Linked DNA regions of Rattus norvegicus. The protein of the gene in region 4 purifies or fractionates together with the protein of the main gene of each other region. This does not show direct contact. Links are inferred from orthologs where the notes say so. Each region holds a gene or a part of one and is shown on either strand. Other genes may lie near its edges.

What was found.
Region 1: the proteins of Mavs (region 4) and Plk1 purify together in Homo sapiens (affinity purification with mass spectrometry; 3 studies listed by BioGRID and IntAct, counting the BioPlex papers as one, with this or other methods). This does not show direct contact. The link is inferred for Rattus norvegicus from reciprocal best matches to the Homo sapiens genes MAVS and PLK1.
Region 2: the proteins of Mavs (region 4) and Nlrx1 purify together in Homo sapiens (affinity purification with western blotting; 4 studies listed by BioGRID and IntAct, with this or other methods). This does not show direct contact. The link is inferred for Rattus norvegicus from reciprocal best matches to the Homo sapiens genes MAVS and NLRX1.
Region 3: the proteins of Mavs (region 4) and Bag6 purify together in Homo sapiens (affinity purification with western blotting; 3 studies listed by BioGRID and IntAct, with this or other methods). This does not show direct contact. The link is inferred for Rattus norvegicus from reciprocal best matches to the Homo sapiens genes MAVS and BAG6.
Region 5: the proteins of Mavs (region 4) and Sqstm1 purify together in Homo sapiens (affinity purification with western blotting; 3 studies listed by BioGRID). This does not show direct contact. The link is inferred for Rattus norvegicus from reciprocal best matches to the Homo sapiens genes MAVS and SQSTM1.
Region 6: the proteins of Mavs (region 4) and Ikbkg purify together in Homo sapiens (affinity purification with western blotting; 4 studies listed by BioGRID and IntAct, with this or other methods). This does not show direct contact. The link is inferred for Rattus norvegicus from reciprocal best matches to the Homo sapiens genes MAVS and IKBKG.
Region 7: the proteins of Mavs (region 4) and Trim21 purify together in Homo sapiens (affinity purification with western blotting; 3 studies listed by BioGRID). This does not show direct contact. The link is inferred for Rattus norvegicus from reciprocal best matches to the Homo sapiens genes MAVS and TRIM21.

What each region holds. Positions count from the first base shown.
Region 1 is NC_086019.1:186,146,327-186,150,457, forward strand, and holds the start of Plk1 (serine/threonine-protein kinase PLK1), read left to right. Parts: upstream 1-1,331; 5' UTR 1,332-1,415; coding exon 1,416-1,823; intron 1,824-2,371; coding exon 2,372-2,540; intron 2,541-3,285; coding exon 3,286-3,430; intron 3,431-4,071; coding exon 4,072-4,131. UniProt on the Homo sapiens protein: Serine/threonine-protein kinase that performs several important functions throughout M phase of the cell cycle, including the regulation of centrosome maturation and spindle assembly, the removal of cohesins from chromosome arms, the inactivation of anaphase-promoting complex/cyclosome (APC/C) inhibitors, and the regulation of mitotic exit and cytokinesis.
Region 2 is NC_086026.1:53,500,494-53,504,705, reverse strand, and holds the start of Nlrx1 (NLR family member X1 precursor), read left to right. Parts: upstream 1-1,412; 5' UTR 1,413-1,448; exon of another isoform or gene 1,449-1,548; intron 1,549-1,571; exon of another isoform or gene 1,572-2,115; intron 2,116-2,134; exon of another isoform or gene 2,135-2,842; intron 2,843-3,696; 5' UTR 3,697-3,748; coding exon 3,749-3,818; intron 3,819-4,212.
Region 3 is NC_086038.1:3,690,530-3,694,643, reverse strand, and holds the start of Bag6 (large proline-rich protein BAG6), read left to right. Parts: upstream 1-1,314; 5' UTR 1,315-1,563; intron 1,564-1,569; exon of another isoform or gene 1,570-1,620; coding exon of another isoform or gene 1,621-1,718; intron 1,719-1,806; exon of another isoform or gene 1,807-2,096; intron 2,097-2,215; coding exon of another isoform or gene 2,216-2,228; coding exon 2,229-2,336; intron 2,337-4,114. UniProt on the Homo sapiens protein: ATP-independent molecular chaperone preventing the aggregation of misfolded and hydrophobic patches-containing proteins.
Region 4 is NC_086021.1:138,903,596-138,907,611, reverse strand, and holds the start of Mavs (mitochondrial antiviral-signaling protein), read right to left. Parts: upstream 2,801-4,016; 5' UTR 2,574-2,800; exon of another isoform or gene 2,075-2,573; intron 1,633-2,074; exon of another isoform or gene 1,582-1,632; intron 1,570-1,581; exon of another isoform or gene 1-1,569.
Region 5 is NC_086028.1:35,034,951-35,039,117, reverse strand, and holds the start of Sqstm1 (sequestosome-1), read left to right. Parts: upstream 1-1,367; 5' UTR 1,368-1,401; coding exon 1,402-1,600; intron 1,601-3,558; coding exon 3,559-3,654; intron 3,655-3,895; coding exon 3,896-4,122; intron 4,123-4,167. UniProt on the Homo sapiens protein: Molecular adapter required for selective macroautophagy (aggrephagy) by acting as a bridge between polyubiquitinated proteins and autophagosomes.
Region 6 is NC_086039.1:157,375,885-157,379,384, forward strand, and holds part of Ikbkg (NF-kappa-B essential modulator), read left to right. Parts: intron 1-309; coding exon of another isoform or gene 310-324; coding exon 325-511; intron 512-1,479; coding exon 1,480-1,691; coding exon of another isoform or gene 1,692-1,694; intron 1,695-3,500. UniProt on the Homo sapiens protein: Regulatory subunit of the IKK core complex which phosphorylates inhibitors of NF-kappa-B thus leading to the dissociation of the inhibitor/NF-kappa-B complex and ultimately the degradation of the inhibitor.
Region 7 is NC_086019.1:166,396,572-166,400,547, reverse strand, and holds the start of Trim21 (E3 ubiquitin-protein ligase TRIM21), read left to right. Parts: upstream 1-1,176; 5' UTR 1,177-1,239; intron 1,240-3,976. UniProt on the Homo sapiens protein: E3 ubiquitin-protein ligase whose activity is dependent on E2 enzymes, UBE2D1, UBE2D2, UBE2E1 and UBE2E2.

The DNA.
Region 1 (4,131 bases), on a different chromosome or scaffold from region 4:
TGCCAGACACTGAGCTGGCAGACTTGGTGGTGCCCTAGTCTTTCACATGGGAAGTGAATCTATATAACAGGGATGCTACATTCTGCCCCATCTCCATCCCAAGCTGTTGCTACTGGCTACCTGTTTATGGTAATAGCACTTCTGGCTGGGACTAAAGGTGTGTGCCCACACCTGGGAAGTTTAAGTTTTTGGAGACAAAGCTTGGGCTTATTCAGAAAGCATTTAGTACAATCGTTTGCAAGGCACTGGGAAAGACAGCAGCACTGCCGTTTTTGCTCAATCCAGCAATAGGATCTTGCTAAGACCCTCCTGGGGAACTAGAGGAACACAGCTTCTAACGGAAGGTATCACTAAAGTGCCCACAGAAACCAGCAGGCAAGTGGGCAAAGAAGATGTCTGGGAATAGTGGCCAGAGTTGACTTTTTTTTTTTTTTCCAGGAAAAGCCACACACCTGCTCTGTGTGGCCACTCTTTTTACATGTTGTAAATCCATTTATTTTCTAAATGAAGGCCGAACTGAACACTTCTGCAGGGCCGACTTGGGTCTAACCACCACCCCCACCTCTGACTAAAAGTTGTCTCTATTTGGGGCTTTGGGCCACACAGCTGAGGACAAGCTTGTATCCCAGGGCGGACGTCTGGTGTTTCTTACATGTCATCTGAATCATCTGAAAGTCTTGTTTGACTGGCAGGTCATGCCTGGAAAGTTTCTTTCCTTTGGGGTTAGCGGAGAGGTAGCTGAAGCTGACCTAGGCTAATCTGTAGTCTTGAACCCACGCCTCTCCTTTGCCTTCCTCGGTAATTCCCAGGTGCTGCAGATGCTACTGGCCCCTGGGTTGTTCAGACGAAGGCTTGAGCTACATTTCAGGGGCTGAGAGCTACTGCCACAGAGGCTGCCGGTCGGTTGCGCTGTGAAGGTGCATCTGCCTGCTAGTCGTGCCAGTGGTGGCGGTGCACTCCCAAGCTACCTCTTGACCTGGAGTTTCAGTTCTAGAAGGCCAGGTCGGGCGGAGGAAGGTGTTAGATCTTAATAGTTAGGAGAAGCCTCTGGAGGAGGCGCAGGTGAACCACATGAGCACGCCCCGGCCGAGGAGCAGAAAGCAGGACCGAATCCTGTTCTCCTAGGGATCTCTACCTAGTTCATTCGTTCCTGGTTTCCCAGGCAATCTAGAGTGCACTCTATCCTCCAGTACAAATTTCTCGCCCGCAAGATCGGGGTTTAAAGGCGGCTGCGCCGTAGAGCACTCCCATGGTGCCGCGCGCTGGGCGGGTTTGTATTTTAAATCCCCGCGGCCAATCAGCAACGCGCAGGCCCTTGTAACGTTCCCAGCGCTGCGTTTGAATTCGGGGAGGAGCGGAGCAGAGCAGGATCCTCTGCACCTACCCGGCCAGGTCCGTGGAGCAACATCGGCATCATGAATGCAGCGGCCAAAGCTGGAAAGCTGGCTCGAGCACCAGCCGACCTAGGGAAAGGTGGGGTCCCGGGAGACGCAGCTCCCGGTGCCCCAGGGGCCGCCCCGCTGGCGAAAGAGATTCCGGAGGTCCTGATGGATCCACGCAGCCGGCGGCAGTATGTACGGGGCCGCTTTCTGGGTAAAGGAGGCTTCGCCAAATGCTTCGAAATCTCAGACTCAGACACAAAAGAGGTGTTCGCAGGCAAGATCGTGCCTAAGTCTTTGCTGCTCAAGCCCCATCAGAAGGAGAAAATGTCTATGGAGATCTCCATTCACCGCAGCCTCGCACACCAGCACGTCGTAGGCTTCCATGGCTTTTTTGAGGACAGCGACTTTGTGTTCGTGGTTTTGGAGCTCTGTCGCAGGAGGGTAAGTGTTTCTGGGGCTCCTACACCTGGAACTTGCTGGCAAAGTGGCACCGAGGTTTTGGAGTGGCCTAGAGGAGTGTTTGGGTTTTATTTAAGCTGTTATGGAAAGGCTTCTAGCGACGGTACTTGGCACTCCGGATCCTGTTGCTATTAGTGAAGGGGCTCCTAGACGCAAGGCTGTGAGTGGGTACAGGAAATGGATGCGTAAATTGGCTAAGGAAGGGTTCCAGGCTTGAGGTGCCGAGGATCTCGAACTTCCGGAGTGAGGCAAGGTCGGGGGAGGGGGCGGCTGTTTGGAGTCAGACCTTAGAGCTTTCAGGAAAGGGAGGGGATCTCCTGCCAGGAGGAAGCCCTGGGATAGGGGATCGAGAGTGGGGTTGAGAGAAGACTCTGTATAAGGGCACTAGTTAAGAGGGTCCGGTGAATGATAGTGACGAGTTTATGGGCAGAGCTATCAGAAACCTGCCAAAACTCTCCACTCCGAGCGCCTAGTTGGCCATATTAAGCTGGCCACCCTACTTGGGCCTCAGTGACCTCTTTCCTCCTCAGTCTCTCCTGGAGCTGCACAAAAGGAGGAAGGCGCTGACCGAGCCCGAGGCCCGATACTACCTGCGGCAGATAGTCCTGGGTTGCCAGTACCTGCACCGCAATCAAGTCATTCACAGGGACCTCAAACTGGGCAACCTCTTTCTGAATGAGGATCTGGAGGTGAAAATAGGTGAGGTGCTGGGCCTGCGGGTGCCTGTGCCAGCCAGCACAAGAGTCGGGAAGGAGGGGAAGGCTGGGAGGAGGGAAAGAGAAGTGCTGCCCTCTGGAAAGGAAATGGAGGGGGGTGTTGCCTTTTTTAGATACATTGCTGTGCCTCAACTCAGTAGTTTTGAACTTGGGGTGCCTCCCCAAATACTCTTTATCCCCTAGCATTGAGCCAGACCCTCAGCCAATTTCTTTTTTAAACAGGAGATGGGGGACATAAGCTATAGGGCATGGCAGGCGGTATCTCCTCAGCTGTCCCCTTGAGTCTGACTTGCCAGTCCCTAGATCCCTGTCACTTCTTCACACACTTGCTCAGCAGCAATCACGAGATCACTTACTTGATTCTCCAGTGCATTTAACTTTATTTATATGAGGGATGGAGACAGGTTAACTTCAAGGAGTCCGTTCTCTCTTCCACTGTGTGGGTTCCAGGATCCTGACTCAGGTCATCATCAGCCTTGGCGGCAAGCCCCTTTACCTCCTGAGCCATGTTACCTAACCTTAACCCTGCTATCTAAAGAGGGGTTAAAGGGCAGTGGGAGGCCAGCTAGGGCCAGTACAGTGTGTGTGTGTGGGGGGGGGGGGGTGTTCCGGGACTATGGGGGTCTCAAGCCACTAAGTTGTCAATGCTCAGGCTTGAAACAGCTGTTTGCAACCTTAGACAGCTGATCTAAGTAGCTGAGCACCCTCTCTTCTTCCCTCTGTCCCAGGGGATTTTGGCCTGGCAACAAAAGTGGAATATGAAGGGGAACGGAAGAAGACCCTGTGTGGCACTCCTAACTACATAGCTCCCGAGGTGCTGAGCAAGAAGGGACACAGCTTTGAGGTGGACGTGTGGTCCATTGGGTGCATCATGTAAGTTGGCAATGAACTTGGGCTTCTGGGCCTCAGCAGGAGTCTCTGGGGCATCTCACCCAGTTGACCTTACCAAGTGGATCTTTCTACCTTACAGAAAGGCTGTTTTAGAGGACAGGCTGCCCCACATGAAACCCTGGTTTTCATGTCAGTCTGGCATAGGCTGTGGGGATCCCTGTAACTTGGACTTGTTTAAAAGCAGTCATAGACCAAAATCATCAACACCTGAGAGCTTGTTAGGAATTCAGAATCTGAGATCTGAACCTGGGTTTAATACAATCCCTGCCTGATTTTCCATGAAAATCAGGAAGCCCTGCTGAGTGCTGATGGGAGAGTTAGGCCAGCAGATAGTCTGGTGGTAAGCAGAACCCCCACCATGGTGGCCTCTGGAACCCTTGGAGAGTCCTCTGTCACTGCAGGCCAGAGCCAGGCAATCCCTGACACCTCGGAATCCAGGTGTTTTCACTTGCATTCTTCCTAGTGCTTGCCCAGCCTTTGGTTGCTGGGCAGACTTGGAGAGCATCCCATCCTTTCCCAGTCAGTGAATCCAGCACAGCTTCCCCAACTCTGGTCCCAAGACAATGACTTCTACATTTGGATTTTCCTTGGAGTTTGAACAGAATTCCTCCTTGTATCCCCAGGTATACCTTGCTGGTGGGCAAGCCACCTTTTGAGACCTCATGCCTAAAAGAGACCTACCT
Region 2 (4,212 bases), on a different chromosome or scaffold from region 4:
CCTCTGCCTTCTTGTTCTGGGATTAAAGGCATGTGCCAACTCCTCCCAGACTCTTTTGTTTTTAATAGTAAAAAACAAAATTATGTGTATGGGTGTTTTCTTGCGTGTTTATTTGTACACCATATACACACAGGGCCTGAAGAGGCCAAGAGAGGGCATCAGATCCACCGAGAATGGAGTTAAAGCTAGTTGTGAGCTGTTGTGTAAATGCTGGGAATGGAACCCAGGTCCTCTGGAAGAGCAGCCAGTGCTCTTAACTGCTGAGCCATCTCTCCAATCTTAGAACATCTCTTAAAATGTAAATATGCCCTTTTCCATGCTGCCCAGTATGCCCTTCTGACTTCTTAACAGCCAGTTCAAATGTCACTGTCTCTGCTAGAAGCAGGTAGTAATTTTCCTAATAGTTTGCCTCAGCCCCTGAAGAAATTCATTGTCAGCATGGTGGGTCCCTGCATGACTGACTCTGTTTGGCAGCCCAGGGTGAGTGTTCAGTACTGGTCTAACACCACACATGAACGAATGGATAATCGCCTAGATGAAATTATGACCATTCTTTCCTGTTCCAACGGAGGGTAGACCACAAAAACCTCTTCTCAGCGCTGTCCTGAGGAGCCTGTCTCTTGAGTTCTCTATTTCATATCTGTTCTCTGCACATTGCACACCCATGTTTGCATGTGGAGGCGTTCCTTGGCTGAAGGTTACTCTGCCAGCTTGGTTACAAGGAACCTTGGGTGTTCCTTGAATGAAGGGGATGAGGGTTGGGGTTTTTAGAACCCCGAAGTCCCAAGACTAAACCATGATGGGATGTCAGACAGGAAGAACAGGTTGGAGAAGGAAGTGTCTACTAGGACCCATTTTTCTTTCCTGGCAAAGTGATCGAGGCACCCCCTAGAGTCTTGGAACTGAATGACACAGAAGAGCTCTGTCTTCTGCCTGTAGGTGAGCTACGGGTGTGACAAGGAAGGAAGGTCAGGATGCCCTGTGGATGAGAAAAGCCTAGAAAAGCTTTTGTTCTGACTTATCTACTTCCAACAGGGAAGGCCTGCGCGAGTCATTTACTCTTCCGCGCTTCCTTGTCTTCATCTGTAAAATGGGCTTTATCAACAAGTCCAGACTTGGAGGTGCATATGAGGTCATAGACTGGGCCTGACGCTTGGGAACCTGCAGGGGGCAGTACGGGAACTTGGGCCCTAGGAGGACCCGGTGGGGCCGGAGTCTCCGCCCGGCGCCAGCACCCACGATCCTCTTTCTGCAGGTCTCCGCTCAGTGCGCTCCGGCGTCCAGGCTGGGCGGGGTGCCAGAGTGGGCCGGACTGCGCGCTTGCTGACGGGCGGAGGCGGCTTAGACGCGCGCTGCCGAACGAGCCAGGGAAGCTGGGAGCCAGCGGGAGACGCCTGCTTCCTTTCCTCCGGGCCGCGGCGACAGGCACCAGGGCCTAGGCAGCCTGGGTAAAGGCCTAACTGGGTCGATCGCTTCTCTGCTCGCCCTGGCTGGACGGCTGCGCTGGGCCCCGGAAGCAAGGGCCGGACAGCTGGGTCGCGGGAGTGGGCAAGTGGCATTGGGAGTTCTGCTGGAGCTTGGGCGCTGAATACGGGCCTACTGACAGCTTCACTTTGCTCCCCGAAGCCAAGTGGAAGTGGGAAAGCTGTATGGGACCCAGTCTGGTGGGGGAGCTCCGCACCTTCTTCTTGGATCCTTTCTTTTGATTAGTGCCATGACAACTGCTTGATTAGCGAATTATCCTAGACCCTGCGGGTCTTATCAGCGAACTTGGAGCTGATTTATGTCAATCCTGCGATTTGCCAGGTTTTCTTGACCTTTCTCCGGCCCCCAGGACTCCTGTTTCCAGCCCACTCAACACCTCTGCCAGCTCCAGGCTCTGGCTAGCTATGCTAAAGCAGGTTCCTCAGTGCAGCCTCTTCCCAAGTTTGCCCTCCCTTCAGCCCCAGCGTCAGTGAGGGAGGCCACGCCAGCATAGGGGCACGTCCATGTCAAAGAGCTCAGGGAGCCAGAAGAGACTCCTTGGGAAAGAGTACCTTGAGCAGTATCTTCGAAGAGTGCCTGAGATTCTGATAAAGGAGATGCTAACCAAAGTATAGGGGCTAAGTTAGGAAGGTGAGAGAGAGCAAGGATCCAGTAGCAGTCCTGGAGCATGAGGCGTGGGCTGGGGGGCAAACCTGGAAAAATAGCTTGTGTGGGCCTGGGTTTCATGGCCGTCAGTAGCTTAGGAGTTCAGGGAGCTGATTTCTGCATGGAATGAGGGAGGGGAATAGGCCCACCGTGGGGGCGCAGAGGACTTGAGGAAATGGGGTTTTTGTAGGGTCTGGAAGGATCTCTTAGTTCTGAGATGATGAAAGAGGCTGTAGGGAGAGATCATCAGGACTGCCACCACTGCCTCTAGGGGAAGGATTTGGATAAAGAGCCAGGGAATAGCGTGTGAATCCAGGGCTTGGGGGAGCTCATCTGCAAAGTGACCAGGGGGTGGAGTGGGCTGAAGTGTAAGGCAGAGGTGGCAGAGCATCCTTGTGTCAAGCAGGAAATTCATTCACTCAGGCATCCATCTATTACTTGTGCCAGTCTTATATACAAGTCAGAGAGACAGCAAAGTGATACAACCATTAGAACTCCGCTAAGAGGATCTGATGGCTGTGTCGCAAAGGCAGAAGGAAATGAGTAAGGATGAGTGGGGGAAAAACCCAGGCTCAGAGAAGGCCCGCCAGTCAGCACAGGGCTCCTCTCTGAGCTTGCTAGCAGTCGAGCAGAAATAAAATCTAAAAGCAGATGATTGGGCTGGAACTCAGGGCTGAGGCAGCTGTGAAACCTCCGTGCCAGGCAGGAGCTGGTAGGAGATGAAACAGAATCACTCGGGTTAGGATTATCCTTGCTGAGGATAGCTAGAGGTCAGGCCAGGGCTTCAAAGGCTTCTTTTATACATATGAGGAAGGGCTAAGCCTCCCTTGGGAGATGGCCCCTTCTTAGATACTAGGGGTAAGGATGGGAGAGAGAGAGAGAGAGAGAGAGAGAGAGAGAGAGAGAGAGAGAGAGAGGTGTGCATGTGTCTGTGTATGTGTGTGAGAAAGAGATGTGTGTATGTGTTTGTATGTGTGTATGTTTGTGTGTATGTGTGTGTGTGCTCATGTCTGCCGTGTGTATATGTGTGTGTCTATATATGTGCGTGTGTCTGTGTATGTATGTGTGTATATGTGTGTATGTGTGTGTATATGTGTGTGTCTGTCTGTGTGTGTGCCTGTGTGTATATGTGTGTATGTGTGTGTATGTGTGTGTCTGTATGAGTATGTGTGTGTGTGTATATGTGTGTCTGTCTGTATGTGTATGTGTCTGTGTGTGTGTGTGTCTGTCTGTATGTGTATGTGTCTGTGTGTCTGTCTGTATGTGTATGTGTGTGTGTGTTTTTGTGTGTGTGTGTGTGTGTGTGTGTGATGCATCCATACCTTCACAGCACTTTTTTTTAAATTTACCTTATTGTTGTTTTGCTTGTTCTTAAGTTTTTCTCTTACATATTTATTTATTTGTTTATGGTGGGTGTGGGTTTGGGTGCAATGGTCCAAAGACAACTTTTGGGAGCAGTTTTACCCTGTAGGTTCCTGGAATTTAATTCAGGTCCTCAGGCTTGGTAGCAGGAGTGTTTACTCCTTGAACCATTTGCCAATCCCATTCACACTTCTCTTTTTGCAGGGCAACAGGAGAGAACGTGGTTCTGAGTGTTTCAGGCTCCAGTTTTCCGAGGATGAGGTGGGGCTGCCATTTGCCCAGGACCTCTTGGGGCTCTGGCCTGGGAAGAACAGTCCCGCTCCCAGGTAAGCAGGAAGTTGAGATTTCTCTTCTGACCTCCTTTCTGCTTCAGGGTCCAGATGCTTCTCAAACATCAGGGATCCAGATGCGCCGGGCACAACAGTTCCAGCTGTGTAGTACCATAGCTGGTGTCCTTCCACATGTCACCTCACCTTCATCTTAGACAAGGGGAGCCAAGCTGGGCCCCTTCTACTGTTTTAATCTAATTCTTATCCAAGACGTTAGCTGCACATTGGCTCTGTACCAGACTGTGGGTTAGGTTTTGGTATATAATTGTGAACAAAACCAGATGTGAGCCCTGCTCTCATGGAGGGGGAAATGGATGATAATCAAATAATCATATGGCTAAATAGAAGATTATGTAATAATTACTATTTAGGATAGCACATGCTACTATAA
Region 3 (4,114 bases), on a different chromosome or scaffold from region 4:
ATTTATTAATTTATTTTATGTGTATGAGTACACTGTAGCTATCTTCAGACACACCAGAAGAGGGCATCAGATCCTATTACAGATGGTTGTGAGCCACCATATGGTTGCTGGGATTTGAACTCAGGACCTCTGGGAGAGCACTCAGTGCTCTTAACCGCTGAGCCATCTCTCCAGCCCCTGAAATCTTTATAATAAAATACTAAATGTGTGTCTAGGGAAGTGTTCCAGCAGTGATGGTGCTTGGCGGATGGCAAGCCAAGCTAGAGGACCTGACTTTGATCCCCAGGTCCCCGCAGTGAAAGAGCACATTTTCCCTCAGATCTCCACACCTGCGCTGTGCTGTGACAGACGAAGGCCATACAGCCACCCCCCAGAAAAGCATTTTAAAAAATATTTAAGTTCTTTTATCCCAGCAGGTGGATCTCTGTGAGTTACAGGACATCCAGATCTACATAGTGAAATCCTGTCTCGGAGGAAAAAAAAACCTCAAAACGTAAATACAGTCTAGTAGAGTGACACACGACCCTGCCCTGGGTGGTGGTGTGGGGTACATTGTCTTTATGGGTTCCGGGCAATTCAGAGTTAACACTGAAACAGCATATAAAAGTCTCAATATACAATGCTTACTGGAACTCTCATCAGTATTGGCATCTAAGAATAAGTGGGGAAGAATGTAGAGAAACAACCGTCCCACCCTGTTCAACTAACTCCCTCGGTGGCTGGCCTTCCAATCTCCTTTCTCAAAAGTCTTGTCCTTGTCTTTCAATCCGATCCCTAAGGCACCCGTTTTTTTTTCTTTCGTTTCTTTAAAAAAGCTCCTAAAAAGCAGTATGCTTAGTTATCCTTAAATATGGCACTCCCATAGTGCTCTCAATCAAAGACCAATAGGACGGCCAAAGTCTGCAAAACGTCCAACTACCCTAATCCCGCCAGGAACTAAACTTGAGCACAAGCAAATACAGCCCGCGGAACGCCCAAGCCGTCCACGGAAAAGAGTGGCTTCCGGAAGAGCAGGAATGACGGGAGGACCAGAGGTCTTGCAGAGGTTTGGGTAGTTAGAATTGTGCCTGTAAATTTCTATGTCCGTCAAGATAGGAACGTTGATTAACGAGGTGCAATACGCAGAAATCCCAGACTCTTTTCCCCAGGAAGGTGCAGCATTCCACCCAGTAATTTTTCTTCAGGCGTTTACAGTAGACACCCCGGTCGGGTAGCACAACGGCGCGAGCAGGGAAGAAACGCACACAGCCGGAGGGGGGGGGCGGGGAAATACTTAAAGTGTGCGCACGCGTACGCGGTTCACGCAGGCGCAGTGCGGTCCCCCGGGCGACGGCGGCGGCGGCGGCTCCTCCGGGTGGTCGGCTCCCTCCCATCTAGGCCGGCCCCGGCCCGTCTCGCCCCCCAGAAACTCACTGCTCGGGGCTGTGGACTTTCTCATCGTGCCCCACGAAAGTAAATCGGGGGAGACTGGGGGAGCCGGAAGTACCGCCTCGAGATCCCCAAATACTATCGGGGAAACGGAAGTGGCCCTTGGTGCCAGGTTGGGGGAGACCGGAAGTGACGGTACCGTGGGGAAGTCGGGGGCGGAGCCACAGGGTGGTGGGCTGTGTATGTGTTTGTATGTGTTTGGCCGCGTGTTGGTTAAGTCGTGTTGCTGGAATACCGACGAAAGACGGAGGCGGAAGGAGGGGGCGGTCAGCGAGCCCATCCAGCCTCCCGTGAGTGTCGGTGGTCTTGGGTCTGTGGTGATTTAGGCGGGTTCGATTGTGGTGGCGCGCGTGCGCGAAGCTACTTTCTCTGCCGAGTCTAGCGCGACCCTCCCCCCCCCCCTCGCGTTGTCCTAGGATTTCCCGATCTCTCGGGCGCTTGCTCGGTCGCGACCGGTGATGACACTGGTCTCTGATCGGTCTCGTGCTTGCTTCCCCGATTCCTAGCCCAACTGGCTCTCCCTATTGTGATTGGCATTGTAGAGCCCCTCCCACCTCTCGTCCTTCATCTCCCTATGCCGTCGATCTCATACCCTTTGTGTTTCTATTCCTGTGCCCCCGAATCAAAAAGGGGGGATGAGGAGGAGGAGGATGAATATATGTGCTTGTGTATGTGAAACTTTCAAGGGATTGGGGCGGAGATTGGGTCCAGAGAGGCTTCCGGGTGTATAAAATACAGCGCGACCGACAGCGAACCATCCCCCCCCCCCTTCCTCGTTCTTCCTTAGAGAGCTGTCGGCCATGGAGCCGAGTGATAGTACCAGTACCGCTATGGAGGAGCCTGACAGCCTGGAGGTACTGGTGAAGACCCTGGACTCTCAGACTCGGACTTTTATTGTGGGGGCCCAGGTGAGACACCAGTACTTTGTAGAGATGACACCCCTTTTGCTCGTTTGTTTTGTGAAGGATGAGCCTGATTTTCTTGTCATTGACCCTTTTGTCCCTTACTCTGTAGGACATCTGACGTTCCTATTGAGCTGGGAGGTGTGGTTACCGTTGAGTGAGGCAGATTTTGTTTAGCCTGTCCTCACCTTGACAGAACTCAGAAGTGGGAGGTACAGAGGAGAACTCTATACCTATTCTGTGCAGACCTCCAGCCCAAAGGGACAGGCATGGCTCTGGCCTTTGGGACCAGACACAACACAGGGGGACCTCAGACCAGTATGGTGTGTCTGTTCTTTTTTATAGGTTACAGAAACCTGCTTCCATACACGGTGAAGTAGAATCGCCAATAGTTGAGGCATAATTTGAGTCTTGAGCTAAGTTCAGTGTGGCCACGTTTATCTTTTGTTTTTCCTGCATAATTCTTTGAGACACCATCATGCGCAGGTCATTTTCGTGGTTTTCTAAAGCAGATATTTAAAAAGCCACGTAGATTTTGTGAGTAGATATGTGTGATAGTTAATTCTGCCTGTTACCAAGGGTTGATGTGTCTTTCTGGGAGGTGGGGACACATAGCGGGGCTGCCTTTGCCTCTGACCATTTCGCCTTTACTGTCTATGTGCTTGGATTATACACACTGTGATAGAGGATTATGGGATTGTAGATTACCACATCTGCCTTGGCTTCGTCTTTTTTTTTTTTTTTTTTTTTTTTTTTTTTTGTAAAGTAGGGTCTTACATAGTTAAATGTCTTAGAACATTTATTTGTGTGTGGGTGTGTGGGTGTGTGGTTCTACTGGGCCTTGAACCTTGGGCTTAGCATAGAGTACTTACTACTGAATTGTATAGAACCATGTGTTCTTTTCTGACCTTCTTCATTAGTTACCTTTCCAGAACCTGGTTCCAAACCCCTGTATTACTTACCATTGGTGGTGATGGTTCTTTTGGGATGTGTGTATTTTCAATTCCTTTAAAAAATCTTATTTGTTTTTATTTTATATGTGAATGGAAATATTTGTATTGGTATTTGCAATACAGATTATAATAATTTGTATTGCAATATGTTTGTCTGGAAATATATATGTGTGCCTTGTGTGCACTTGATGCCTAAGAAAGTCAGAAGAACATATCAAATCCTGCAACCTGTGGCCTTCTCCTCATGTGGAAGTTAGGAAATTGTAGTCCCTATTGTGTTATGGATGACTGTAAACTACTTATGTGGGTGCTAGGAATTGAGCTCTGGTCCTGTTCAAGAGAAGAGCAACCCTGAGCTATGTCTCTAGCCCATCATTTTGTGTTTTAAGTCAGGGTTTTATTCTGTAGTCATGGCTAGCCTCACAGTCAGATCCATCTGCCTCTGCTTCCTTGAGATTAGAGGCTTTCTGCTACAGTGCCTATCTGCATTTAGCCTTGAGATTACAGCCATGAACTCCTGCTATTGTTTTAATTTAGAAAAGGACCACGACTATCTCTAGATAGTGAGCCACAGAGGAGAAAGGGAGAGAGAGCTATTTGGCTTCTTGTTTATAAGATTTAGTTTTATTTATTTACTGTTGTTGCTATTTTTTTTTTTAAATAAATTTAAGACAGTCTCTCTACATCGCCTTGGCTATTGTAGAACTCACTATGTAAACCAGGCTGGCCTCAAACTGACAAGAGACTCACATGCCTCTGCCTCTCAGAGGCCTACACCACCGTGTCCCACTTACTTGTAATTGTGTGTTGGTGTGGGGGATGTGTACCTCT
Region 4 (4,016 bases):
AGGAATCAAACCCAGGTCCTGTGGAAAAGCAGTCAGTACTCTTGCCACTGACCCATCTCTCCAGGCCCAAGGTTTATTATCTATTTTTATGTACTCAAATGTTTTGCCTACATGTATGTCTGTGCACAGAGGCCAGCAGAGGGCACTCACAGATGGTTGTGAGCTGTCCCGTGGGTACTGGAACTCACACTTGGGTCCTCTGGAAAAGCAAGCCGTGCTCCTTCCCACTAAGCCTTCTTTCCAGATCCTCTAAGCCTAAATTTTTTAAAAATATGCCACTTCCATATTTTTACTCACTTATTATTGTATGTATATGATGGGTGTGTGAATGTGTGCACACACATGTCACAGCACACACATGAAATCGGAGGACGACTTTTGTGATTTGGTTCTCTCCTTCCACCATGGGTTCCAGGGATGGAACTCGGTCATAAGGCTCGCACTTTCACCCACTGAGCCATCCCACCATTTAAACACAGCAAAGTGCCTTAAAAGCAAGCATTACGTATGAAGCACCACCATCTGCACTCACGTGTTTTGCTCACTTGTCTCTCAGTTGTTCTCCACATCAGCGAGAAGAAAGACAAGATATGCCACATCCAATTTATCTACTATTGGTGTGGTACAGGTACCAGATCCATTAGTGCATAATCAGATGACAAGTCCAGAGAGTAATTCTGATTATGAAGAAAGTAAAAGGAGACAATGGGACAGAATCCAGGAGGAAATTCCTTGCTTAAACGGAGGTGATCAAGGAAAGGCCCCTGATTGGTAACGCCTGACTGAATGATTTTCCACTGTGAAAAGACTGGCATCTTGGGCAGATGGCAAAGCAGATGCCCAAGTCCTAAGACCTGATGGCATTTGGAATGAAGAGAAACTAAGTGAGTGGTTTAAAGCTGAGGGGTGGGACAAAGGTCAAGGTCAAAGAGGCCACTAGCACATAAGGTGTTGTGGGAAGGAATTTGGGTTTTACTTGGTGTGGAACAGGGAAATCACTGACGAGCCAGGGCTCCGATTTGCACTGCAGAACTCTCTGGAGGTTCTAAAGTCTTCAGGAAGCCCAGGATGAAAAAGGGTGAAAAGTCCCAGCCAACTGAGAGGAGGATGGTGGGTGGGTGTGGCCAGGATGGCAACAGAGGTGGGGATGAGCAGCTACATTCCTGGTGCTCTTCGGACATGGGAGGTGGGTGGGGATCAAACATTGCTTCTTCTTGGGAGGTGGGGCAAGGAAGGTGCCATTTACAACACTAGGGAAGGCAGTGAGAAGCCATGGAAAGAGCTCCACTTTGACAAGTTTAACAAGTTGTTGGGTTCCAAGAGTATTGTTCAGGAGAGAAGAAGGAAGGGGAGTATAGGCCTCTGGGAAACAGTGCAGAGAATATCTACGGTTGCTGCAGGTGCAGGCCCCTGCCACACAGATTAGGTACCGGTTCTGCCTAGTGACCTCAGCCCATGTTAACTCTAGCACAGCTAACTAACAAATGCTACATGCTTATGAAGAGCTACGGATAGAAGGTCAGGAGATAAAGGGAGATAAGATTGAGGTCTGTTGGGCCTTCAGGGGATGAAAAATGATACCTCTGTAGAGGCCAGCCAAGTGAAACCCTTCCTCCTCCTTTCCCAGGTCACCTAGAAAAATATGACGAGGGAGTCAAATTAGTGATTTTCTGCAGTCCAACCACAATACTGAATGCAGATTAGGGGTGGGGAGTGGCATGTAACCCCACCAGAAGCAGAGGAAGCTCACATTTATTCATTTCTTGAGGGTTTTCTGTTAACAGAAGCAGCCTGGGGTTCTTGTACTTAAATCCTTTGACACAATCACAAGAGAGGAAGTGATACCAAGCTACACGGCTGACCTGCAGTGTGGAATTTGTACCCCCCGACTTGTTGCCACGGACTAATAGCATAGAGGTCCCTGCAGCAGAAAAGCCACAAAACCCATCTTTATGCCAAGGTCATTGCCTGGGGATGAGACTAAAGTTTGAGAAGATGCAGCATTTAGGCTTTTTGAAGACATAAAAGTCTCTCAGACACAGCTGGAATTAATGCTGCCCTCACTGACATTCACCTGAGTTCTGAGATCGAGGCTGAATGCCCTTCAAGTTTTTGAAGCTTCGCAGTATCCAAAGAACATTTTTTTTTTTTTTTTGCTTTCTCTTGTTTTCATCCTTTTCCTCAAACTTCTTTCTTATATCAGAGAAAGGGAGATGGCAGGGGCGTCCTGGATACAGCAAAACTTCCGACCTGACTTCCACAGAGCTTCTGATCCGGTCACGGAAATAAATATCCACACTCCCGAGAGACAAGTCTCCTGGCCTCAGGCTAGATTCCTGGCGGGACTCAGGTCTCCAAGTGCAGAGAGGCTGTTTTGAACAGATGTCACTGCCTACAACTGTCCAGATCCAGGATCAGGCCGTAGCCCGGACTGGCAGGCCTACCCCCTGGCGCGGCTGCCACAGGTCGTTGCTTGCGGCCAGGCCTCGCTCGAGTCACCAGGGCCTGGGAGAGGCAGGGGGCACTCCGAGGTTCTTTCTGTCCAGCCTGGGCAAACGCTCTGCACCACCTACCTGCTTGCTAAAGGTGCTGGATGCGGTTCAAGGAACTGCCGGGGTCGCGAATCCGTATGGGGCAGACCGCATTCTCCCCTAATCCGGTTCAGGATCTTCTCTGGCACCGAGCGCCCAGGCCCGGGGCGCTCCTGCGAAATCCTAGGAGCACTCGGCTCTGACCAAGGTCCCCTCCCTGAACAACCTCAGTGAGCACAGAGCACTGAGGACCCACACCCAGGCTGCGAACTTACCAAGAAGAAACCAGACTAGGAAACAGGTTGACCGCGTTCGACTGTGCAGAGCCCTCCCAGATGAAGGGGCGGAGTGGGGCGGGGCCAGCCACGCGGCCATTGGTCAGGCGTGGGGAGGGAGGGAGGGGTGGGGCCGGAAGCGCGGCCATTGGCCTAACTGAGTCCCGCTGCGATGGGGTCGGAAGTATGGCTGTTGCCTGGCTGGGAAGGCCTGGGTGGAGCTGAGCCAGGTCGGTCTCTGGGCCATTGGATGAGTCCCGAGGTTCCAGAGCGCTCGTCTAGAGGTTAGCGCCCTGCAGGCCTTGCTCTGGGGCTCTTCTGATTTCCTGCAGGTGCATAAAGGAGATTGTTTCTTCCTGCTTGATCTAGAACACTTTCCAGGGAAGTCCAGAAGCCAAGAAAACTAATGTTCTTAAATTCCGTCCCATGTTCTTCAAGCAAAGCAGCTCTGATAGCCAAATACTGAAGGAGAGAGAGTCTTCGTGTGATCCACTCTTATGTCTCCAGTACTCCGTAAACAAGGGATGTCACGCAAAATGTCACAGGGGTGTGGGTGCCTAACCAGGTGACACCAGCTGGGCTGATAGGAACAGGATGCAACAAAAAGACTGCACCTATCTGGGGATATGCACCAAGTTATAACCGCTTATAACTCCAGCACTAGGGTAACCCGACACCTCTGACCTCCACTGCCCACCAGAGATAAACAAAGGAATGCATGCTTTTTACTTCCAGTCAATTGTTTCAACAAGAAGTAAAAACTAACGTACTTAAAAAGAAGTATCAGTTACCCTAGCATGCCCAGATGGTAGAAATGTTTTATAACTCAATGTAGGTGGTGAGTACGCAGCTTGAGCATATGTAAAAAAATCTATCAACTGGGGCTGCTGAGATGGCTCAGCAGGTAAGGGCACTTTTTGCCAAGCCAAAGATCTGAGTCTGGTCTCTATAATCTGCATGGTGGAAGGAGAACTAACTCCCCAAAGCATTGGCATTTATCACCCCTCCCCCTATAAATGTAAAACATGAAAAAAGTTGAAAAAAATGCATCAATGACATACTTAATGTTACAATTTCCATGTTAAAGAGAGGCCTAAGGGATTCAGTGGAGATCACTGAGGTTTGAGCTGCCACCAAACAGAATTAGTTGTGTGACAAAGATGCCGGAACTCTTTGAATGCGATTAGATTTTATTAGTGTTTGTCTTAGG
Region 5 (4,167 bases), on a different chromosome or scaffold from region 4:
TTGCCACAGAAAGCAGCATTTCCTGGTTTTGGCCTTCGTGCTGAGGGTTGAACCTAAGATGTGACATATACCAGGCAGGTACTCTGTCACTGAGCACCAAATCCTTATGCACCAAATCCCCATTAGTGGTGTCCCCCTGGGTATATCCATGCTAAGCTAAATCCTCATGAACTGTGTCCCTACTAAGCTAAAATCCCCCTGGGTATATCCATGCTAAGCTAAATTCCCATGACCTGTATCCCTACTAAGCTAAATCTCCCTGAGTATATCCATGCTAAGCTAAATCCCCATGAGTTGTATCCTAACTAAACTGCATAGACAGCCTCTTTATTTTGCCCCCCCCCCCCCTTTTTTTGAGAGGCTTCTTGTAGCCAAGGCTGGCTTTGAACTCCGGAACCTCTGGCCTCCCAAGTACTCAGATCACTTTCTAGTTTGAAACAGCTTCACCAAGCTGCTCAGGCAGACCCTGAACTTGGTATTCTCTTGCCTCAGCATCTCAAACAGCTGGGATAACAAGTCTGTGTCACAGGACTGGCTAAAGCCTGTATTTTAGTTCCTAGTTGGAGGGCAAGTGGTCTGATTCCTTTGTGCTCTTTGAAGCCACTAAGGCCTGAGATACATGCTCCTTCCCCTCCGCCCTTAGAGCCTGTGTGCTGTGGTGTGTGTGTGTGTGTGTGTGTGTGTGTGTGTGTGTGTATTATGTGGGTTGTTGTGAGGAATCTCAGTCTTAGTAGTGGTGACTATTGCAGTTTCTGGAGCCCTGGCTACCCCTCCTACAGGGTGGGTTTGTGAGAAGTCACCAGTGCTAGTCCAACATCCAGTCTTTGTCAAATTGGATCAGGCCTAACATATGGATGATGTCCCTTTATTCAGTGAGGGGCTGGTCATGGTGGATGCCTGAAGAGAGAGTAGGGTGGAGGGCTACTACGGGGGACACTAAGTTTGGGAGGGTTGGAACAGTATCCCGTGAAACAGCTTGTTTGGCCAAGGAATGGCTACCTGACAGTAGGCATCTGTGTCGTCTGAGCCTCTGTGCTGGGGCATCCATCCCCCTTGGCTTGGGGACTACACTGCTGAGTCATAAGCAGGCCCAAACCTGGGAGGAGCCTAGGCTCGGATACTTACCGGCCCTTTTCCCATCGAACTGAGACTGAGGCTGGTCTCTTGGGGTCACCCATGCATTCGGAGGGAAAGAAAAAGAGGAGGCGGTGGGGGCGTCTCGCCCCCATACCTGTCAGGGGTCCTATCAAGGGCCCTCGAGCGGCCGCCCGGACAGCGGGGAGGGGCGGAGCTCAGAGAGGTTCCGCCCCCCACGAGGCGGGGCTCCCCCCGTATCCTATAAAAGCTGGGCTCTCGGAGCCGCCGCTGCCCAGCTGTTTCCTCCGTACCTAGTCTGCGGTTATGGCTTCGCTCACGGTGAAGGCCTATCTACTGGGCAAGGAGGAGGCGGCCCGCGAGATCCGCCGCTTCAGCTTCTGCTTCAGCCCGGAGCCGGAGGCGGAAGCCGCGGCTGGCCCGGGGCCCTGCGAGAGGCTGCTGAGCCGGGTGGCTGTGCTGTTCCCCGCGCTGCGGCCTGGAGGCTTTCAGGCGCACTACCGCGGTAAGGGCTCGGGGCGGGGAAGCCATCCTCCCCCGCCGCGGAGTATCAGGTCTGGGCGAGGACGCGATGGCGTGTCCTCTGGCTGCCCGCGGGGACAGGGTGGTCAGGCGGCCGCTCAGGTTACAGCTGACATCCCGCGGTTCGCTTGCTCCTCGTATCATCAGGTGATGGGTTCAGTTAAAGGCCCGGAAGAGCTGGGACCGGGCAGATGTGGAGGAGGGGTGGAGAGCAGTGACGCGGGTAAATAAGCGGCGGGGGCGGGGTGGGGCAGCCCGTGGGAAGGGAGGTAGGGGACCCCGGAACTAGCTCCGTCTCTTGCGTTGCAGTGGTTGATGGCTGCATGGGGTGGAGCTAGAAGTTGTTGACAAGAGACTAGTGGACAAGGCCCTCCCCCTGGGAGGGGATAAGATTGAGATCTCTTTATGGAGGACTGTGGGTAGGCCAGGTTGGTTGATCAGTCTGTCTCTTTTCTGAGATAAAGCCACGTAGCCTGATTCGCCTTGAATTTACGAGTGGTTTAGGCTGGCCTCACTTCAATCCTCTTGTCTCAGCTTTCCAGTGCAGGAATCATAGGGATTATTCTGGACAAAAAATGTTCAGTGTAAGTGAGTTTTAACCTAGGTCCAGTACAATTCACCCAGGTCTTAATGTCCTTCCGAGTCATCTTTGTGCTAGGGCCTCATGTATGTTAGGCTCTCGACTGACTGAGCTACCACCCCGCCCCCCAAACTCCTTGCATTTTTTAAAAAGTGAGTTATATAACTATTATCACATTCGGTTTAGAATCTTTTTTTTTTTTATAAATTTTACGTGTGTGTGTGTATAGCCTAGCCTGATACACACACACACACACACACACACACACACATATATGTATATATATATATATATCCTAGCCTGCAGATGTGTGGTTTGTCCTGTATGAGGTGGTTGAAGACTGTTTGTACTGACATAGAAATATATGGCTGCGCTCCCAGTACCTGTGTGCTAATGTAAAAATGAAAGCAGATGGGTTTGAGAAATGACTCAGTGGTTAAAGCCTTTGCTGCTCTTCCAGAGGACCCAAGTTCTGTTCCTAGCGCTCATATCAACTGCAGCTCCTGGGGATCCCACACCCTCTTATGGCCTTCGTGGCACATGCATACACATAAGTGTGCATGTGTGTATGTGTGTGTGTGTGTCTGTGTGTTCAAGTGCGTACATACATATGTAAAAGTAAATATCAAAAGGCAAAAAAGAAAAAAAACCCAAAAAAACCCAAACCACTTGGCAGCTTGGTTGCATATGTTTGTGATCCCAGCACTAAGGAGGCTCACCTACACAAGTTGGAGGCTGTCCTGTTCTAAGCAGTCTCAGGCCAGGCAGGGCGCAGAAAACCTAGAATTGACAAAAACAAAACCAACAGAGCAACCTCAACCTCAGAACAACTTAGACAGCGTCTGAATGCACAGTGGTTTCTGGTCACGTAGTTGAAGGGAGGGGACAGATGGGCTTACCTCCTTTCCTTCTGAAGCCTGAGGCCTTTGAAGGGCTGGACCATCAGGACAGGGTACTGGCTGGAATCTCCCAGGTGAAAATGGACCTGGCCTACTTACGTGTGGCCTGAGGGCACAAATGGCCCAGTGGTTTGTGGCAGGAAGCTGGACCCTTACACACATGACATATGCTCTGCCTTGTGCATGTACCGGATCTAGGACTTGGGTTAGAACATGTACTCACGCCATATCAGAATGAGTGGCCATCTGGCTGCTTGCTCCAGCACTCAGATTGCGTCTAGAGCCTCTGTAGATGTCCCTTACCATTGGGCTCCCTGTACATAGCAGTGGGCATCCAGCAGATGCTGGGTACCTGTGCTGCCCTTTCGGCTTCTAGTTCTGGGAATGGCACCTAAGTCTTCTGCACGCTCCACCAATGAGCTGTGTCCCTGGCTCTGATATGTTGTTTCCTAAACAATCTAGATGAGGATGGGGACTTGGTCGCCTTCTCCAGTGATGAGGAACTGACAATGGCCATGTCCTATGTGAAAGATGACATCTTCCGCATCTACATTAAAGGTAAAGACTGCATCCAGGTACTTCCCATCGGACTTCCTCTAAGGCTCAGGGGTCTGAGTTGTCTCTAGGACAGAGATGAGTTCTGATGCCTTGGGGTGGATATAGGGGGGTTGGGAGGTGTCAGAGGTACAAAGGTCCTGCTGTGTGGGCCATGGGTGTTGAACAGAGCAGGGCTTGGTACCTCTTGGCCTCCTAAGTGGTTTACCTGCAACTAAATTGGACTCTTGGACTCTCCCTGCAGAGAAGAAGGAGTGCCGGCGGGAACATCGCCCCCCATGTGCTCAGGAGGCACGAAGCATGGTGCACCCCAACGTGATTTGTGATGGTTGCAATGGGCCTGTGGTGGGAACTCGCTATAAGTGCAGTGTGTGCCCCGACTACGACCTGTGCAGCGTCTGCGAGGGGAAGGGCCTGCACAGGGAGCACAGCAAGCTCATCTTTCCCAACCCCTTTGGCCACCTCTCTGATGTGAGCTGGTTCTCTGCAGTCCTGGGGCGGTGTCGGACAGGGTGG
Region 6 (3,500 bases), on a different chromosome or scaffold from region 4:
TAGGACATGGATATATCAATCATTCTACTATACTGGGTGATGGGCCAGGACCCTTTGCTTCTACTTGAAGGTATGTGGAGGAGGTAGGATTCCCAGTATACTTCCCTTTCCCTCCACAATTCTCTTTGCAATGGTAATATTTGCTGTGTCATAGATCCAAACTTCACTTTTGTATCTGGTTTCATCAGACAAAATGTCCAGCTTTTTGCTGTGAATGGAAGTCTAGGGCTTCTGTATACATTGAACCCCTTGTGCTGATTGAGAGAACTCTGTTCTTTGTCATGTACTCCTACTGCCTTTTTCTTCTAGACACTGTCTTGTTGGATGAGCAGGCACCTCTGGAAGAATCAGTTGAGTGAGATGGTGCAACCCAGTGGTGGCCCAGCAGAGGACCAGGACATGCTGGGTGAAGAATCTTCTCTGGGGAAGCCAGCAATGCTACATCTTCCTTCAGAGCAGGGTACTCCTGAGACCCTCCAGCGCTGTCTGGAAGAGAATCAAGAACTCCGAGGTAAAGGTTGCAGTGTGAGGGAGGCATGAAGTTAAAAGTTAGGAGGGACCTGGCATACTTATGTAAGGACAAAGCTTATTGTCACCTGCATCTCATAATTGGCAGGGTATGAAGTCATGATGTGCCCAAGAACCAGCCAGCATTTCAAACTTCGCTACTTTGCTTCATTTCAAGTAGGGTTTTCTGTGAAGAGTCACATACAGAAAATAATGTGGTTCAAAGCCAGCACAAGGGAAGGGAGAAGGGAAGGGGAAGGAGGGTAAGCTAAAAAGCCATGGTAGGTAGGGGAAAAGTGGGATATGGGGGTCAATGGGAATAGGTTTATTCTTGGGACATAGCAAGCTTTTAGATAGGAGGGGATATATTTTTCTTCAGAGAGAGAGGGTTTTTTCCTAAGATGAAATGTGGCCTGCTCTTGGAAAGGTGTGGCCAGCTCCAGTAAGAGATCTTTGAGTATGTCTTCTGCACTGGCATTGCCTTCTTGCTCATGTTCACATTCATTTTTAAGGTGATGTTTACTGTTCTTGAATATGCAGCTGAAGAGAATGAAACTCATAGAACTATTAGCTTGTTCTGTCTGTATCTTCTGGGCTCCCAGGTTGCAGCCAGAAAGTACACAGTGAAATTTGCTTTGGGGACTGTTTCATTACCTCCCCAAGTGTTTCAGGCATGTTTAGGACTCCCTGATTCTGAAGACAGAGATGCAGGCCCAGGAGGACTGGGACTGAGTGCTCCAGGGTAGGGATACCTCCAATTGACCAGAATATAAATGAGGCACTTAAAGTTGATTTTGGTGAATCCCTTTAAGCGAAGGATCTGTGTTTAAGTAATACACTGTAGACACTTGGGGGGTATATCATCAGTGGAATTGGCTAGGAATTGGTTTGACTTCTTAGAGAAAGGCCACTTGGTATTATAGGGTTACCTGGCTGTTAGGACTCCTGTTTTGCTGTCTTCCCTATCCCTAGATGCTATCCGGCAGAGCAATCAGATGCTGAGGGAACGCTGTGAGGAGCTGCTGCATTTCCAGGTCAGCCAGCGGGAGGAGAAGGAGTTCCTCATGTGCAAATTCCAGGAAGCCAGGAAGCTGGTGGAGAGACTGAGCTTGGAGAAGCTTGACCTGCGGAGGCAGAGAGAACAGGCCTTAGAGGATTTGGAGCATCTGAAGAAATGCCAACAGGTAGCTAGTGGATGGGCAGGCCCTTCTGCCCCACCTGTGTTTGAAGACCATATCGACACTCATATGCCCATAGGAAGTATGTTGTTGGAGGTGCCTCAGGACCTTTTCAGGCTTGATTGCTGGGAGCCCTCTTAAAACCAAGAGAATCCATCACACTCACTGTTAGTTTATTACAGTGAAAGGGTCCACATCAAAATTATCCGAGGTACAATGCATATGTTGTAGGAGCCAGGAGGGGCCAGATGTGAGCTTCTCAGGGAGCAGTGCTTTTGCTATGAATGGTGGGGCACTGTGCACAGAGTACTATCAACCAGGAAACATTCCTAAGCCCTGGAAGCCAGGATTTATCTTGGATTCACTTTTAAAGGTACGGAGTGCTTGGGTACCTAACCTAGCTTGCTCAGGTTCTAGCCACCCTGAAGTCTAACAGGGACTATACCATGTAGTCCAAGGCCCTCACATACCCTGCCAGCAGCTCAGACATCCTGGTTGAGCCGTAGGCCCAGGATAAAACAAGGCAGTCACATCAGATAGGATTTCTCAGGGGCTCAGAGATGATCCCCACCAGTCTTTGGAGGAATTATGAGACCCCAGGCCTGTGAATTGGCCCTGTATTACACAATCACCAAAGGATAGTATGCCTAGTGTGGAATGAGGTGGTATTTCAAGGCCTTTTGGACTGGTTGGTTTCAGGACCCTGGTGACAATAGTTGAGCAGGGATTGTGCCATCTGAGAGGACTAGTCTAGGGGAAAGGGTAGAGTAGTCCCTAGTTTTGGAGGTCAGAGGTCTAAGATGAAGGTATGGGCAGGTAGGTTCCTCACAGGGATATTTCAGGTACTTCTCCATAACTCTCTTGTCACATAGCCTTTTCTCTTCAAAATTTTTTATTATATTTTATTTTGTGTAGTATGTATGTCTGAGCTTGCACTCACACGTGTGGATGTGGGTATTGTCATGGGGTGCCAATTTAGGTGACAGGACAGCTTGCAGGAGTCAGTTCCCTCATTCTACTATGAGTGCCAGGGATTGGACTCAGGTTGTTCTTAGGCTTTACCCATTGACCTTCTGAATTTTCTCACAGTCCTCCTGTCTTTTCATAAGGATACCAATGTGAAACAGGAAGGTAGACAGGTATTAGAGCCATGAGAATAGATTTTATTCAGTAACTGGTAACGAAAGGGAAAGAGCTAGCTAAGCTCTGATGATCTGCAGAGGTGACTGGGTCTTTTACCTTTTTTTTTTATTTTTGGTTCTTTTTTTCAGAGCTGGGGACCGAACCCAGGGCCTTGCGCTTCCTAGGCAAGCGCTCTACCACTGAGCTAAATCCCCAACCTTTACCTTTTTTTAAGATTTATTTTTATTTATGTGTTGGGTGTCTGTGTCTGTGTATAAGTGCCCTTGAAGGTCAGATGAGAGTCTCAGATTGTCTCTAACTGGAATTCCTGGTAACTATAAGGTACCAGACAATTGTGGTGGTAGGAACTGAACTCTGGTCTTATAAAAAGTAACAAATACTCCCGATCACTGAACAGTCTCTCTACTTAATGACTGTGAATTTTAAAATGAGAATAGTGGCCAGAGTGTGTATGCTTTGCATGTGTGAGGCCTAGAGTTTAGTTTTCAGGGCTTCAAAAAAATAAAGACAGAGATGCCGATAGAAAGAAAATAAAAGATTAGGCTAGGGGAAGGAACTCAAGTGAATTCCAAAGGGTATTAGTATTAATGTGATGAGACCAGTGTGTTTATAACCTTATACAAATCAAATGTAGGTTTTTACCATAAAGACTGGGAGTCTGAGTCCTTTCTG
Region 7 (3,976 bases), on a different chromosome or scaffold from region 4:
TTCGCCCAGGGGAAGGAGGGTTGAGATATCAAAGTACTAGCTGAGAGTGAAGGAGATTTTGTTCTTCAGGAGTTTGGGTCTTCAGATAATTACCAAGGTGGGAGCTGAGGCAGCTATGAGTATATTACATTGGTCATCCTGTGTGCACATTATAGAGTATTTATCACCACAACCCTAGGGTGTGTATTAATCTCTCTATCCAGTGTGTAAACTGAAACAGATAAGGCGTCATCTAGTGGTAAATAGAAAAATAGACATTGACTCTACCACTACCTTATTTTGGGACCCAAGTTCTTTGCCTGCAGGAAATAGCGACAGATCTTCAGTGGTGTGAAGCAGAATCATTTTCTGATGTTTGCAGATGCCTTTGTCCTTTCAGATGCTTGACTCTGTTTTTCATTCTGCTTCCTGGAGCTGTTGTGTTCCTGGAATCAAGTCCCAATACAACAGCACAATCTAGACAGTAGATGTCGCCTGGTGACCTTTTACTGAGAAGGATCTCTTAAACAGGGCTGGAAATTTCAAAGCACGGAATGCTTTTATTTCCTAAATATGATAAATGGCAAGGAAAATTCACCTGATGGTTTTAGCGCAAATTATAATACAATCAATGTCCACAAGTCTCCCTTCATTGCTACAACACATACCCTAACATCATTAGGAATAAATTTCTCACCCTAGACTATTTGAAAAGAGGGGAGCAAAACGAGAAGACAGAGGGATGGGAAATGGGCATATGTCAAGCATACTGTGCAATTAATATATGTTAACAAAAACAGTGCCAGGATCTTTCACCCGGATTTTAAAGAACTATCAGTCTTGTGGGAAGATCCCTCTAGAAAAGATAGTAACTCCTCTCCCATCCAGACCTCTTCTCCCAGATGCTCCCAGGTTTGAAGTAAAGACCAGTGTCAAAGGTCGATATCCTGTAGATTACAGTCTGTTAAAGGTGACAAGGAGGCCTTAGAGAGACTGCACCCAAGAAGACATTAACTGAGTTTTCCTTTGCCTGTGGCCTGAAGTCAGTTTCTGGCACCTCTGACCACTCTCCTCCCACTCTCTGCCCAGTCTCCGCCCTATCTGCCTCCAAGGCTTGCCAGTCAACTCCCTGTTCCTCCCCTTGCTCCTCCCTCTTCCTTCTAAGCTTACCTCTGAGAGGAAACTGAAAGTGAAATTAGACTGCGGGCTTGCAAAAGTGAAGCTGAAAACAGCCTAGCCAAGTCTGAGGACCCTGGTAAGGTGAGTGAGGATGGGACCCCTGGCCAGACTAGATGGGCTCCCCCCACCCCACCCCAATGCCACAGATTCAAGGAGCCGCTTCCCACTAGCGCCCTACACACGGAATTTCCTAGCCCACCTGCTGCTTCTCTTCAGCGGAGTTCTCTAGTCCCAACCCTGCCAGGCTGCCCGTGCTTCCCTGTGAAAGCTGGTCTCTGAAATTGACTTTCCTAGTGCCATGAGCAGGAGAAGCAGGGCGGTGACCTAGTCCGGGAGGGAGAGGGGAGGGGGGAACTCGGGGAAACCCCAGCCCCTTGAAGACCCTCGATTGAGGAGAGTGCTAGCCACTTAGAAATTTCAGTGGGTTTAAGATACTCAGCACCCTAAAGGAAGTTGAGAGAAGTACTAGGCTTGGAGGAGCTTAGAGAAGAGCCCAGGGAGTGCTCCCCACAAATGTCAATAGATGAGCATACATACATATTCTGTACATAGACATTTAGATAGAGGAACGTATGGGCATGCCTACATTGATGCATTTGTGCTCAAGTGTAGCTTACAATGGAACATATCAGGGTAAATAAAGACATCAATTTGTGTGTGTGTGTGTGTGTGTGTGTGTGTGTGTGTGTGTGTCTGACACACACACACACACACACAAGCCTAATAACTGGGAAATATACTCTTAGATGATGTACTCAGGATAATGAATGCACATCTTGAAGTTTTTTTATTGGATTTTTTTTTATTTTTATTTCAAATGTTATCTCTTTCCTGTTTTCTCTTCCATAAACCCCCTATTCCACCTCCCCTCCCCCTTCTTCTATGATGGTGTTCCCCCGCCCACCCCTTACCACCCGCCTGCCCAGACATTTCCTACACTGTGATGTCAATTCTTGGCAGGACCAAGGGCTTCCCCTCCCATTGGTGCCCCAAAAGGCCATCCTCTGCTACTTATGCAGCTAGAGCAATGGGTCTGTCCATGTGTACTCTTTGGGTGGTGGTTTAGTCCCTGGGAGCTCTGGTTGGTTGATATTGTTCTTCCTATGGGGTTGCAAGCCCCTTCAGCTCCTTCCATCCTTTCTCTAACTCCTCCAAAGGGGACCCCACTCTCAGTTCAATGGTTGGCTGTGAGCATCTGCCTCTGTATTTGTCATGCTCTGGCAGAGCCTCTCAGGAGACAGCTATTTCAGGTTCCTGTCAGCATGCACTTCTTGGCATCAGCAATATTGTCTAGGGTTGGTAGCTGTATGTATATATGGTCTGGATGCCCAGGTGGGGCAGTCTCTGGATGGCCTTTCCTTCAGTCTCTGCTCCAAACTTTGTCTATATATTTCCTCCTATTAATATTTGTGTTCCTTCTTCTAAGAAGGACTGAAGCATCTGCACTTTGGTCGTCCTTCTTGAGCTTAATGTGATCTGTGGATTGTATCTTAGGTAACCCAAGGTTTGGGCTAATATCCACTTATCAATGACTGCATACCATGTATGTTTTTACTGATTGACTTACCTCATTCAGGATGATATTTTCTAGTCCAATCTATTTGCCTATGAATTTCATGAAGTCATTGTTTTTGATAGCTGAGTAGTATTCCATTGTGTAGATGTACCACATTTTCTGTATCCATTCCTCTGTTGAAGGGCATCTGGGTTCTTTCCAGCTTCAGGCTGTTATAAATAAGGCCGCTATGAACATAATGAAGCATGTGTCCTTGTTATATGTTGAAAAATCTTTTGGGTGTATACCCAGGAGTGGTATAGCTGGGTCCTCAGGTAGTACTATGACAGTTTTCTGAGGAACCTCCAGACTGATTTCCAAAATGGTTGTAATAGCTTGAAATCTCACCAACAATGGAAGAGTGTTCCTCTTTCTCCACATCCTCGCCAGCATCTATTGTCACCTGAGTTTTTGATCTTAGCCATTCTGACTGGTGTGAGATGTAATCTCAGGGTTGTTTTGATTTGCATTTCCCTGATGACTAAGGATGTTGAACATTTCTTTAGGTGCTTCTCAGCCATTTGGTATTCCTCAGTTGAGAATTCTTTGTTTAGCTCTGAACCCCATTTTTGATAGGGTTATGTGGTTCGCTAGAGTCTCACTACTTGAGTTCTTTGTATATATTGAATATTAGCCCTCTATCAGATGTAGGATTGGTAAAGATCTTTCCCAATCTGTTGGTTGCCATTTTGTCCTAATGACAGTGTCCTTTGCCTTACAGAAGCTTTGCAGTTTTATGAGGTCGCATTTGTTGATTCTTGATCTTAGAGCATAAGCCATTGGTGTTTTGTTCAGGAAATTTTTTCCAGTGCCCATGTGTTCGAGACTCTTCCCCACTTTTTCTTCTCTTAGTTTGCGTGCATCTTATTTTATGTGGAGGTTCCTGGTTCACTTGGACTTGAGCTTTGTACAGGGCAATAAGAGTGGATCAATTTGTGTTCTTCTACATGAGGACCTCCAGTTGAACCAGCATCATTTGCTGAAAATGCTATCTTTTTTCCATTGGATGGTTTTGGTTCCTTTGTCAAAAATCAAGTGCCCATAGGTGTGTGGGTTCATTTCTGGGTCTTCAATTCTATTCCACTGGTCTATCTGTCTGTCTCTGTACCAATACCATATACTTTTTATCACCATTGCTCTGTAATACTGCTTGAGGTCAGGGATGGTGATTCCCCCTGAAGTCCTTTTATTGTTGAGGATAGTTTTTGCTATCCTGGGTCTTTTGTTATTCCAAATGAATTTGCAAATTGTTCTGTCTAACTC